Sus scrofa: one gene and its partner. The protein of the gene in region 2 interacts with the protein of the main gene of each other region in a pairwise test. Links are inferred from orthologs where the notes say so. Each region holds a gene or a part of one and is shown on either strand. Other genes may lie near its edges.

What was found.
Region 1: the proteins of AAGAB (region 2) and AP2S1 interact in binary tests that used the Homo sapiens proteins (3 or more experiments, as listed by UniProt). The link is inferred for Sus scrofa from reciprocal best matches to the Homo sapiens genes AAGAB and AP2S1.

Annotation. Positions count from the first base shown.
Region 1 is NC_010448.4:52,699,817-52,705,006, forward strand, and holds the start of AP2S1 (AP-2 complex subunit sigma), read right to left. Parts: upstream 3,383-5,190; 5' UTR 3,229-3,382; coding exon 3,226-3,228; intron 439-3,225; coding exon 289-438; intron 1-288. UniProt on the Homo sapiens protein: Component of the adaptor protein complex 2 (AP-2). Adaptor protein complexes function in protein transport via transport vesicles in different membrane traffic pathways.
Region 2 is NC_010443.5:165,137,035-165,141,448, forward strand, and holds part of AAGAB (alpha- and gamma-adaptin-binding protein p34), read right to left. Parts: intron 2,295-4,414; coding exon 2,212-2,294; intron 1,373-2,211; coding exon 1,276-1,372; intron 1-1,275. UniProt on the Homo sapiens protein: May be involved in endocytic recycling of growth factor receptors such as EGFR.

The sequences.
Region 1 (5,190 bases), on a different chromosome or scaffold from region 2:
ACCCACCTAGAATCCATGAGGATACAGGTTCCATCCCTGGCCTCACTCAGCGGGTTCAGAATCCAGTGTTGCCATGAGCTGTGGTGTAGGTTGCACATGTGGCTTGGATCTGGCGTTGCTGTGGCTGTAGCATAGACTGGCAGCTCTAGCTCCAATTCCACCCCTAGCCTGGGAACTTCCATATGCTGTGGGTGCAGCCCTAAAAAAAAAAAAAAACCCACAAGGTTGAGCAGGAAGGGTCAAAAGGAAGCAGGGGAGTGTGGGAGGCAGGGGGGAGGGTCCTATCACCTCCACAAAGTTGGTGTGTTTGGCATCTCGGACAGTGACCACGGCGTGCACTTCCTCAATCAGCTTCTGTTTCTCGTCATCATCAAACTGCATGTACCACTTGGCCAGGCGCGTCTTGCCTGCCCGGTTCTGGATGAGGATGAAGCGGATCTGGGGGCAGAGGGAGGAGGAGGAAGGGAGAGAGATGGGGAGGGTGGGCCAGTGCCAGGCGGCCCAGCCCAACAGCCCCACCCGCCCCCACAGGGGAGAGCAGGTCCACCCATCTCAGCCACTCCCCAGAGCCCAGCCAGGCTGGCCTGGCCGAAGGCTCTGGTCCCAAGTCCCTCCCACCACCCCCCACTCCCCCCACCCCCGTGGAGGGATTTCTCTTCCACTGGCGGACGTGCGCTGCGCTGAGTGCCAGGCTCTGCCAGTTCTTGTTCCCAGGACCCGGGACAAAAGATCTGCCCCTCTAAGCCTCAGTTTCCCCACTGGCGGAACAAGTTTCCTTAGAAGGTCCATCTTGTCAGGGTGTTTTGAAGGTTAAATAGGTTTATCAATTTAATCCAATGGCCGATGCTAGCAGGCATGCTCGGTGTCAGCTACAATTATCATCAGTGATGGCTAGGAAATGTGCTTTTGTGATTCTGAAGCGTCAGCTCAACTCTCCTCAGGTGACTATGAACACTGAACAAGTTCATGACAAAAGTGTTTAGTATAACGCTTACTGCTTACGGAGCTCTCGAGAAAATTAGCTATTATGACAGAGAGGCATTTGATCAAGTGGCTAAGAACTCAGGCTGGAGACTGTGCATGAATCCTGGCACTGCTGGCTGTGTGTCTGTGGGCAAATCACTGAACCTCTCTGGACCTCGATTTCCCCATCTGTATAATGGACATAATGAGAATACATCCCTCATAAGACTGTTGCACGAGTTAATAAATATAAGACTTAGGAGTTCCCGTGGTGGCGCAGTGGTTAACGAATCCGACTAGGAACCATGAGGTTGCGGGTTCGGTCCCTGCCCTTGCTCAGTGGGTTAACGATCCGGCGTTGCCGTGAGCTGTGGTGTAGGTTGCAGACGCGGCTCGGATCCCACGTTGCTGTGGCTCTGGTGTAGACCGGCAGCTACAGCTCCGATTGGACCCCTAGCCTGGGAACCTCCATATGCCGTGGGAGCGGCCCAAGAAATAGCAACAACAACAACAACAACAACAACAAAAAAAAAGACTTATAGTACCGTGATGAGTGCACATGAAGTGATATACAAATATTAGGTTGTTGGTTTTTTGGCCAAGACCACAGCCTGTGGAAGCTCCTGAACGAAGGACTTGAACCCTCGCCATGGAGGCAACCCAAGCCGCTGCAGTAATCACACCAGATCCTTAACCCACTGTGCCACAAGGGAACTCCCCAATATTAGTTCTTAGTAATATTATAATTGATTATCATTTGACTTTGAGAAGACCATGGCCCAAGTTTCATCCTGCTAGGAAGCCTGCCTTTGGGCCCCGTTCTGTTTGAGATGGGCACTCTTGTGCCCATTTGATAGATGAAGAAACTGAGGCTCAGAGAAAGGACGTCTCACAGCCAGAAAGCAGAGCTGGGAATCCAAGGGCTTTGCTTTGAACCCACTTCCCCTGACGTGTGTGTGGCAGCCTCCACCCTCTCATAGAGTCCATTCTCTTCCCTAAGCCTCATTCTCCACACACCATTCCTCCTTCCCCAACCAATCAAGCTGGATGGGAACAGGATATTATGGTCTCCTTTCAAGAACACTGTCTGCTGAGCCAGGGAAAACCACTTCCTAGCAAGGCAGGGGTCCTGGGAGACAGGGAGAGGGCACGGGGTGGAGGTGGGGGTACCCACACCAGGCAGCCACTGCCTGGGGCAGAGCCAGAGAAATATGGGGCACACTGAGGGCAGAGATAAAAGCAAGCCTGAAAAGCTGAGGGAGAGCTCTGCCTCTGACCCCCCCCCCAGTTCCCTCATGCACCTCTTCCTGTTTCTCCTCCCAATTAGAGTCTCCCCACTTCAGGGAATCCACCCTCAGAAGCCCTTTCCCTCCTGCACCCTCAACCCTCGGATGTCCCCGCTCTATGTCCCCCAACCTACTGTCTCCAAGCCCTTACCCTAGAGCTGTCCCCTTTCGACTTCCTCTTTCTCGGTTTCAATGCCCTCTGTCAGGTCTCCCCATCTCTGGGGAGGGGTACCAAATCCAGTGGCTTGTCCTTGCCCCCAAAGCCTCATCCCCATCTCTCGCACTCCTGTGCCTATTACCTACCCTCCGTGACCTCTTCCACTGCTCCCCACACATCTCTAGTATCCACTCCCTACGCCAAGCCTTCTCCCTTTTCTAGCACGCTTTCCCTAACTCTAAAGCCCCATTCCCTACAGTTGCCTACTTCCCGTTTCCAGTGTCCAGTCTCTTCCTCTTGAAATTCTGTCTCCTTCATCAGCAGTATCCCGCCCAGTTCCAACACCCCCTCTCCGTCTGCAGTGTCAGCTTCCTGCCTCTAGAGACCCCCGTCTCTCCCAGCCGAAGGTCTTCCATCCTTCTCCAACTATCCGGTCACACTCCCAGAGAGCTCTCTTCTTGGGATGCCCCCTCGCCACCTCCAATTCCTTCTCCCCACCTCGGAGATCCTTCTTCGTGAGTTGCCTGCCAGTTTCAAAACCCTTCAGCCACCTCCAATGTCCCCTCCCGCACAGACCCCTCCTCTTGTCATCCGGTCTCCAAAGCCCCCTAGCCTTGAGAGCCCCGTTACACTCTGGCGTCCAGAACCGCCGCCCAGTCCCCTTCCCCGGCCTTTGGTCGGCCCCAATCTCGAGAGCCCCCGCCTGGCCCAGACCATTGCACCGCGGCCGGGGGGGCTTGTCAGTATCCCACCGCGCCTCGAGTACCTGCACATGGACCCACCCTCTGCCCATCCCCAGTATGGGCGCGCCCCCGTTACCATGGCGACCCCCGTCCGACCCCAGCTTCTGGGAGGCCCCGGTCCCACGGCTTCTGGGAGGCTCGGGCTTTGGCGGCTGTTGGGGCACCCGGGGCTAGAGCGGACTTCCGGCAGAAGAACTCGCCCGCCCTCTCTCGCGCACAGCCGGCTGGGAATTGTAGTCCGAAGAAATGGGGTCGTTCGTCTGAGCGGCACGCCAGAGAAATGGGCCTGTCCCGCGTCCCAGCATGCTACGCGACTATCCTTTTCCTCGCGCAAGGTTCGGTCTCCAAATGCATTCTGGGAGCCGTGGGTGAATGTCTCCTGGCAGGACTACAATTCCCGAAATGCTGGACAGCCAGCAAGGCAAGGGTTGCACTCTAGGAAATGTAGTTCGGACAGCCTTCCTTCTCCCTCCCACCGCCCCCCCAACAAGGCAAGAAGGACGTACTGGGAATAGCTGTTTTAGCAGAACACTGTAAATTAATTGTATTTTAATAACAAACAAATAAATTAAAAATCAATCAATAAGAAACTACGTTGGGGGAGCATGGTCACCCAGTACTTTGTTTAGAATATGTTAAGCGACTTATGTGGGACAGTGGCTTAAGCGCATGAATTTGGAAGCCAGAACTGTATGCAAATCGTGCCTTTATTTCCTAGCTGTGTGACTCTGGGCCAGCAACTTCACCTCTTAACTCAACTTCTTTAACTGTAAAAGACGGTTGATCAAGGGGTCACCTCAGTAGAGTTGTTTTAAAGCATCCGTAAGTTTCCAAAGTACTTAGCCCAGTGCTGGACATATAGTATGTGTTATGTGTTTGTTTGTTTGTTAGGGCCACACCCTCCGTGTGTGGAAGTTTCCAGGCTAAGGGTTGAATAGTAGCTGCAGCTGCTGCCTGTGTCAGAGCCACAGCAACATAGGATCTCAGTCACATCTGCAACCTATACCACAGCTCACAGCCACTCCAGATCCTTAACCCACTGAGAAAGGCCAGGGACTGAACCCACATCCTCATGGATACTAGTCAGGTTCCTTACCACTGAGCCACAATGGGAATTGCCTTCCCCCATTTCTTTGATCGCTGACCTCTTTTCTTCCTTTGGCTTAAACATCACCTCCGCAGTCCTATATGGGGGAACCCAACATACGAAGTTCCCCTCTTCGACCCCCCACATTCTCTAGGTCAGCAGTTAGATTTCTTTAAAGCCTTTTTACAGCTGTTAATGATTTTATTTGGGGTGTGTGTCTCTGTGTGTGTGTTGCCTCCGTTGAGGGCAGGGAACCTGTTAACAATCTACATCCCCTAGAACATGGTGGCACATAGTAAGCATTCAGTAAAGGGATGGATACTGAGGGGAGACTTGCTCTAAGAAAGCAAGGTAAATTAGGAGTTCCGTCGTGGTTCAGAGGTAACAAACCCAACTAGTATCCATGAGGACGCAGGTTTGATCCCTAGCCTCGTTCAGTGGATTAAGGATCCTGCCATGAGCTGTGGTGTAGGTGGCAGACGAGGCTCGGATCTGGTGTTGCTGTGGCTGTGGTGTAGGCCAGAAGCTGCAGCTCTGATTCAACCCCTAGCCTGGGATCCTCCATATGCCGCGGGTGCGGCCCTAGAAAATACAAAAAAAAAAAAAAAAAAGGATATCAGCTGGGGAGTTCCCTTGTGGCCTAGTGATTGAGGACCTGGTTGCTGCTGTGGCTCAGGTTGGATCCCTCATGCCTTGGGTGCAGCCCCCCCTCCCAAAAAAAAAAAAAAGAAAAAGAAAGAAAAAAAAGAGAAAGATGTCAGCTGGGAATGCAGTCATTTGAAGGCTCAATTGGGGCTGAAGGATCTGACTCCCAGGTGGCTCACTCGTAGGGTGTGTTGATTAATGCTGGCTGTTGGCAGGACTCTGTTCCTCACCAGGTGGCCCTCTCCCCAAGGACACAGAGTGTCCTCATGCGGCAGCTATTTTCCCCCAGAGTGAATGACCCATGAAAGG
Region 2 (4,414 bases):
GGCTGAATAAACTAGAGAGAAAAGAGATAGTGTTTAATTTTTTCTTCTTAATATGTTTCTATAACCAATCACTCGAGTTTTCTAGGTATATTATCTTATAAACAACAAAAAAAATTTTTTTTTAAATTTACTACTGCACATGGACCCTCTGTGGAATAAAGAGAAGTAGTGATGTCAGTAGTTCCCCAACAAAAGAGTGTTTATAGTTACTGTCAACTAAGCTACTTGGCTTTCTGGCTTTTGGACAACAAACTGGCTTCCAGTTTCAGTTCCAGGACCTTCTTGGACAAGTTATGAAACTGTTCCAGGCCTCACCCTTATCTCTGTAAAATAACTTCTCTGCCAAAATTCATTACCAAATGAGAATGTGGACATAAAAGAACTTTAAAAGGATATGAGAGGGCTTATAAAGAGGTGTTATTCTTGTTACCATCAATTCTGACTACTGTGAAATAGTATTAAAAAAACTGTATGGGAGTTCCTGTGGCACAAAAGGATCGACAGTGTCCCTGTAGTAGCGGGGACACAGGTTTAATCCCCAGCCTGGCATAATGAGTTAAGGATATGGTGTTGCAGCAACTGGAGCGTACGTAGCAGCTCCAGCTGGGATTTAATCCTTGGCCCGGGAACTCTATATGCAATGGGGTGGCCAAAAAACAAACAAACAAAAAAACACGAAAAAGAACCAAAAACGGTGGAATATGGAAATAGAAAGCTATTTCACCATCTGTTTCTGTCTGTTTTGGCTAAGATGATCTGAATCAAGATCCTGCTAAGAGAATCAAGAAGAAAATGGTACCTACAGGTCTGTAATGTATTTACTCTCCCTCCTTTTTTTTCTTTCTTTCTTTCTTTTTTTTGCTTTTCAGGGCTGCACCTCGGCATATGGAAGTTCCCAGACTAGTGGTCAAATCGGAGCTACAGCTGCCGGCCTATACCACAGCTACAGCAACACCAGACCCAAGCCGTGTCTGTGACCTACACCACAGCTCACAGAAACACCAGATCCTTAACCCACTGAGCAAGGCCAGAGATCGAACCTGCAACCTCATGGTTACTAGCTGGATTCATTTCCGCTGCACCACAATGGGAACTCTTCTCCCTCCTTTTTCTGACATCCGTCCACAAGGCTCACAATTCATTTGGGGTGCACTATCAATTTTCTTCCCTTGTCCGTGTTTAAAGTCAGTTCCCCCCCAGATGATTTATGCCCCGATACATGGACTATTATAAGTCCCACAGAGCTGTCACTTGGCAGCCAGAGGAGGGGCTTACCCACAATGCTATCGACCTGAGCGTCTGCTGTGTTAGATGCGCCACCTCGATGATCCAAGAGAGCTTCAGTCCTCTCTGCTGCTGGCAAACAGGGCTGCTGTTGAGGAAAACACACGCAAGCAACAATTTAAGAAGCTGCTTCAGAACTAAATCCAAAAAGGCTCACACTTCCACCCACTGGTTAGCTTTAGAGAAGTAGAAATAGGAACTAGAGACCAGGAGAGATGAAACAAGGATCAAGGTCACATTAAGAAAGGCTAAAAGACCACTAACTCAGGAGTGTTTTTCCTCAAGGAAAAATTAGCAAGTGTTGTGATTTTGCTATTGACTATTAAAACATACTGTTTTGTTTTAAGATCATGCTTTTTTTTCAAAATCTGAAAATGTGTAAGATCCTATCACAAAGACCTCAGAGACTGAGGAAGAAGGTCCTGGAAAGACAACATGGCACTGCCGAACGTGCTCATGGCTTCTACCTGCCGACCACAGCCGTCCTGGACCACAGTCCTTGAGGACAGAGGGTTGAAATCAGCTTATTAAACTCATTAAGGGCAGGTACCTTGCTTCAGGTTGTAGAGTACACAGGAAGTACTTAAAAAGAACCATTAATTTTATTTTATATTTAAAGATCTAGAGGCAACTTTATGCCTCAAGGAAATCCTGGCATATTTTTAAAAGCACTTTAGCAAAAACACATGCAACAGCACAAATTGCAAACATCTTGAAAGGGCTTACTGCTTTAATGCCTAAATAGCCTTTTCTCAATAGGTGGCAGGCATAAAAAGGGCTATTTTAGATTAGCCTTCTATCTATTTCTAATATTCTCAGTCACTTCTTAAATGGAAAGGGAAGAAATGATAAATGGTGTAAAGATTCACAATGATGAGTAGAAATTAAAGCCAAAGCAAAGAAAAGATCCAGGAAAAAAATCTCTACCTCTGAATGGCAGGTGTCTGCTGATCCAATGTTATGGTTTGCTCCAGCCAATGAGCTAAGAAGGCTAAAGCCTTGGTTCTTCTCTGAAAAGAAAAAAATACAATCACTGAAATTTTTTATTTACATTTTAAATTGTTAAAATGACTGTGACAATAACATAATAGTTAATAATAAAATTTCTAACTATAAAAAATAGTTATCATCATTTACCATACTCTCCAAATTCTGGGTAAATTTTAAATCACAGAGTATCAGTCCAGGTCAAGTAGATGGCAAGGCCATTACAACAAAGAAAAGGTTGCTCAGTGGTTCTGTTTGCAAAGATTAACAGAGCTGGTGTTCTGACAGTCATTATGAACTAATATTGCAGTGTTTTAAACAATTAAAATTAAAAAGAATCAAATACCAAGGTATTATTATCAGGTAAAAATGAACATTCATGTTTTTTTGAAATAAAGCTCTACTCGTGCAGTTATGGTTCCCAATGCTCTCGCTATTTGTATTTACAAAGGAGGACAAATCTAGAGCAAAATGTCAGAACCCAGCCCTGATTTGGTAGGGTTCCCCAAGAGTCACCTGGACAGTGACTACCCCAGTATTGAATATTGACCCTGCTTTGGACTGAGTTAGAATTTCTGTCTAAACAGAGACCAAGGAGTCTGAACTTTTAGCAAGTACTCCAGGAGAGTCCTTAGGATCAAGAAAATTGGAAAAACAAAAAACCAGTGCGCCTGAGAGTAGAAAGTGAAACCTACATCACTCAAGAGTCTAACAGTATAGAGGTCAAAGAACTCCTCTCTCAAAAAGGCTTCTTCCCACCTCACTTTCCTCTCCCTATCACTTCCCTGACTCCATTCTCACCCATCTCTCAACAACCTCCAAACTTCCTAGTCCTCGCCTCTGGTGGGTGAAACCTGTTGACAGAACCCCACAGAAAGAAAACCACTTGCAGGCCCCTCACTCCCATTTTAACTTGGGGAGATTTGCCTTTAAATCAGGATGAAGCCCAACTGTAGCATCGGGGAGGTCCAGGCCTGAGCTTTTTCCATCTCCTGTTACCATCTCCTCATGTAGTACACTTGGCCTACTTGTACAGAGGTACTAACCTGGTCGGTACCTGTGCTTGAAGGCTAGGGGGGCGCTGGGCAGTACCCAGGGTCTCTGCTGCTCTCTGCGCTTCCTGCTCCACAACCTCAACAGTGGCAGTGGGGTGAAAGGTGTGCACGTACTCCTGGAGTCCCCTTTCTTTTTTTTTTTTTTTTTTTTTTTTTTTTTGTCTTTTTGTCTGTTGTTGTTGTTGCTGCTGCTATTTCTTGGGCTGCTCCCGCGGCATATGGAGGTTCCCAGGCTAGGGGCTGAATTGGAGCCGTAGCCACCGGCCTACGCCAGAGCCACAGCAACGCAGGATCCGAGCCGCGTCTGCAACCTACACCACAGCTCACGGCAACGCCGGATCGTTAACCCACTGAGCGAGGGCAGGGACCGAACCCGCAACCTCATGGTTCCTAGTCGGATTCGTTAACCACTGCACCACGACGGGAACTCCTGGAGTCCCCTTTCTCAGCAACCTGCCCACCCATGAGGAACTCTGCAGGCCCAAGACCTGGGGGAGCCCCATCCCAGGACCAGGCTTCAGTGAGGCAGACTGGGGAGACTCAGAGGCTGAGACAAGTGTCCCACACTGAGGGTTTCACAGAGCCTGGGGGTGTTCATTCAAACACTGACATAATCTTTTCTTGTGGCCAATGTGCTATAGGCTTTAAAGCAGTTGTATGCAGTTATACAGTATTCTGGGATTTTACATGTCAGGAGGATACATGAGAGTTCTTATAAAATACTTTAGGCTCTTTGTACAAAAGGCATTTATCTGAGTAATAGAGCACTGATGCAAGAGGGCCCTTACTTCTATTACTGGAAATAACTTGGACTTTGGGTAATTTTCAAATCAGCTCACAAATCTCTCCGAATTCCAATTCCACAGCTTATGTTTTTCCTTTGTTGGGCAGTACCTAAACTTGGCACGCCAGAGGGCAATCCCTGAAGAATAATACAAGACAATGTCAGTTTAGGCATGTTATTAGACCAAAATGGTCTATTTAAAATGCCTCATTCTTTACAGTGGCTGCCTTCAAGGAGGGGATCTGGGATGAGCAGGAGTGAGAGGGAGCTGGACTTGGCACTGTACACTGTAAACCTCTGTCAA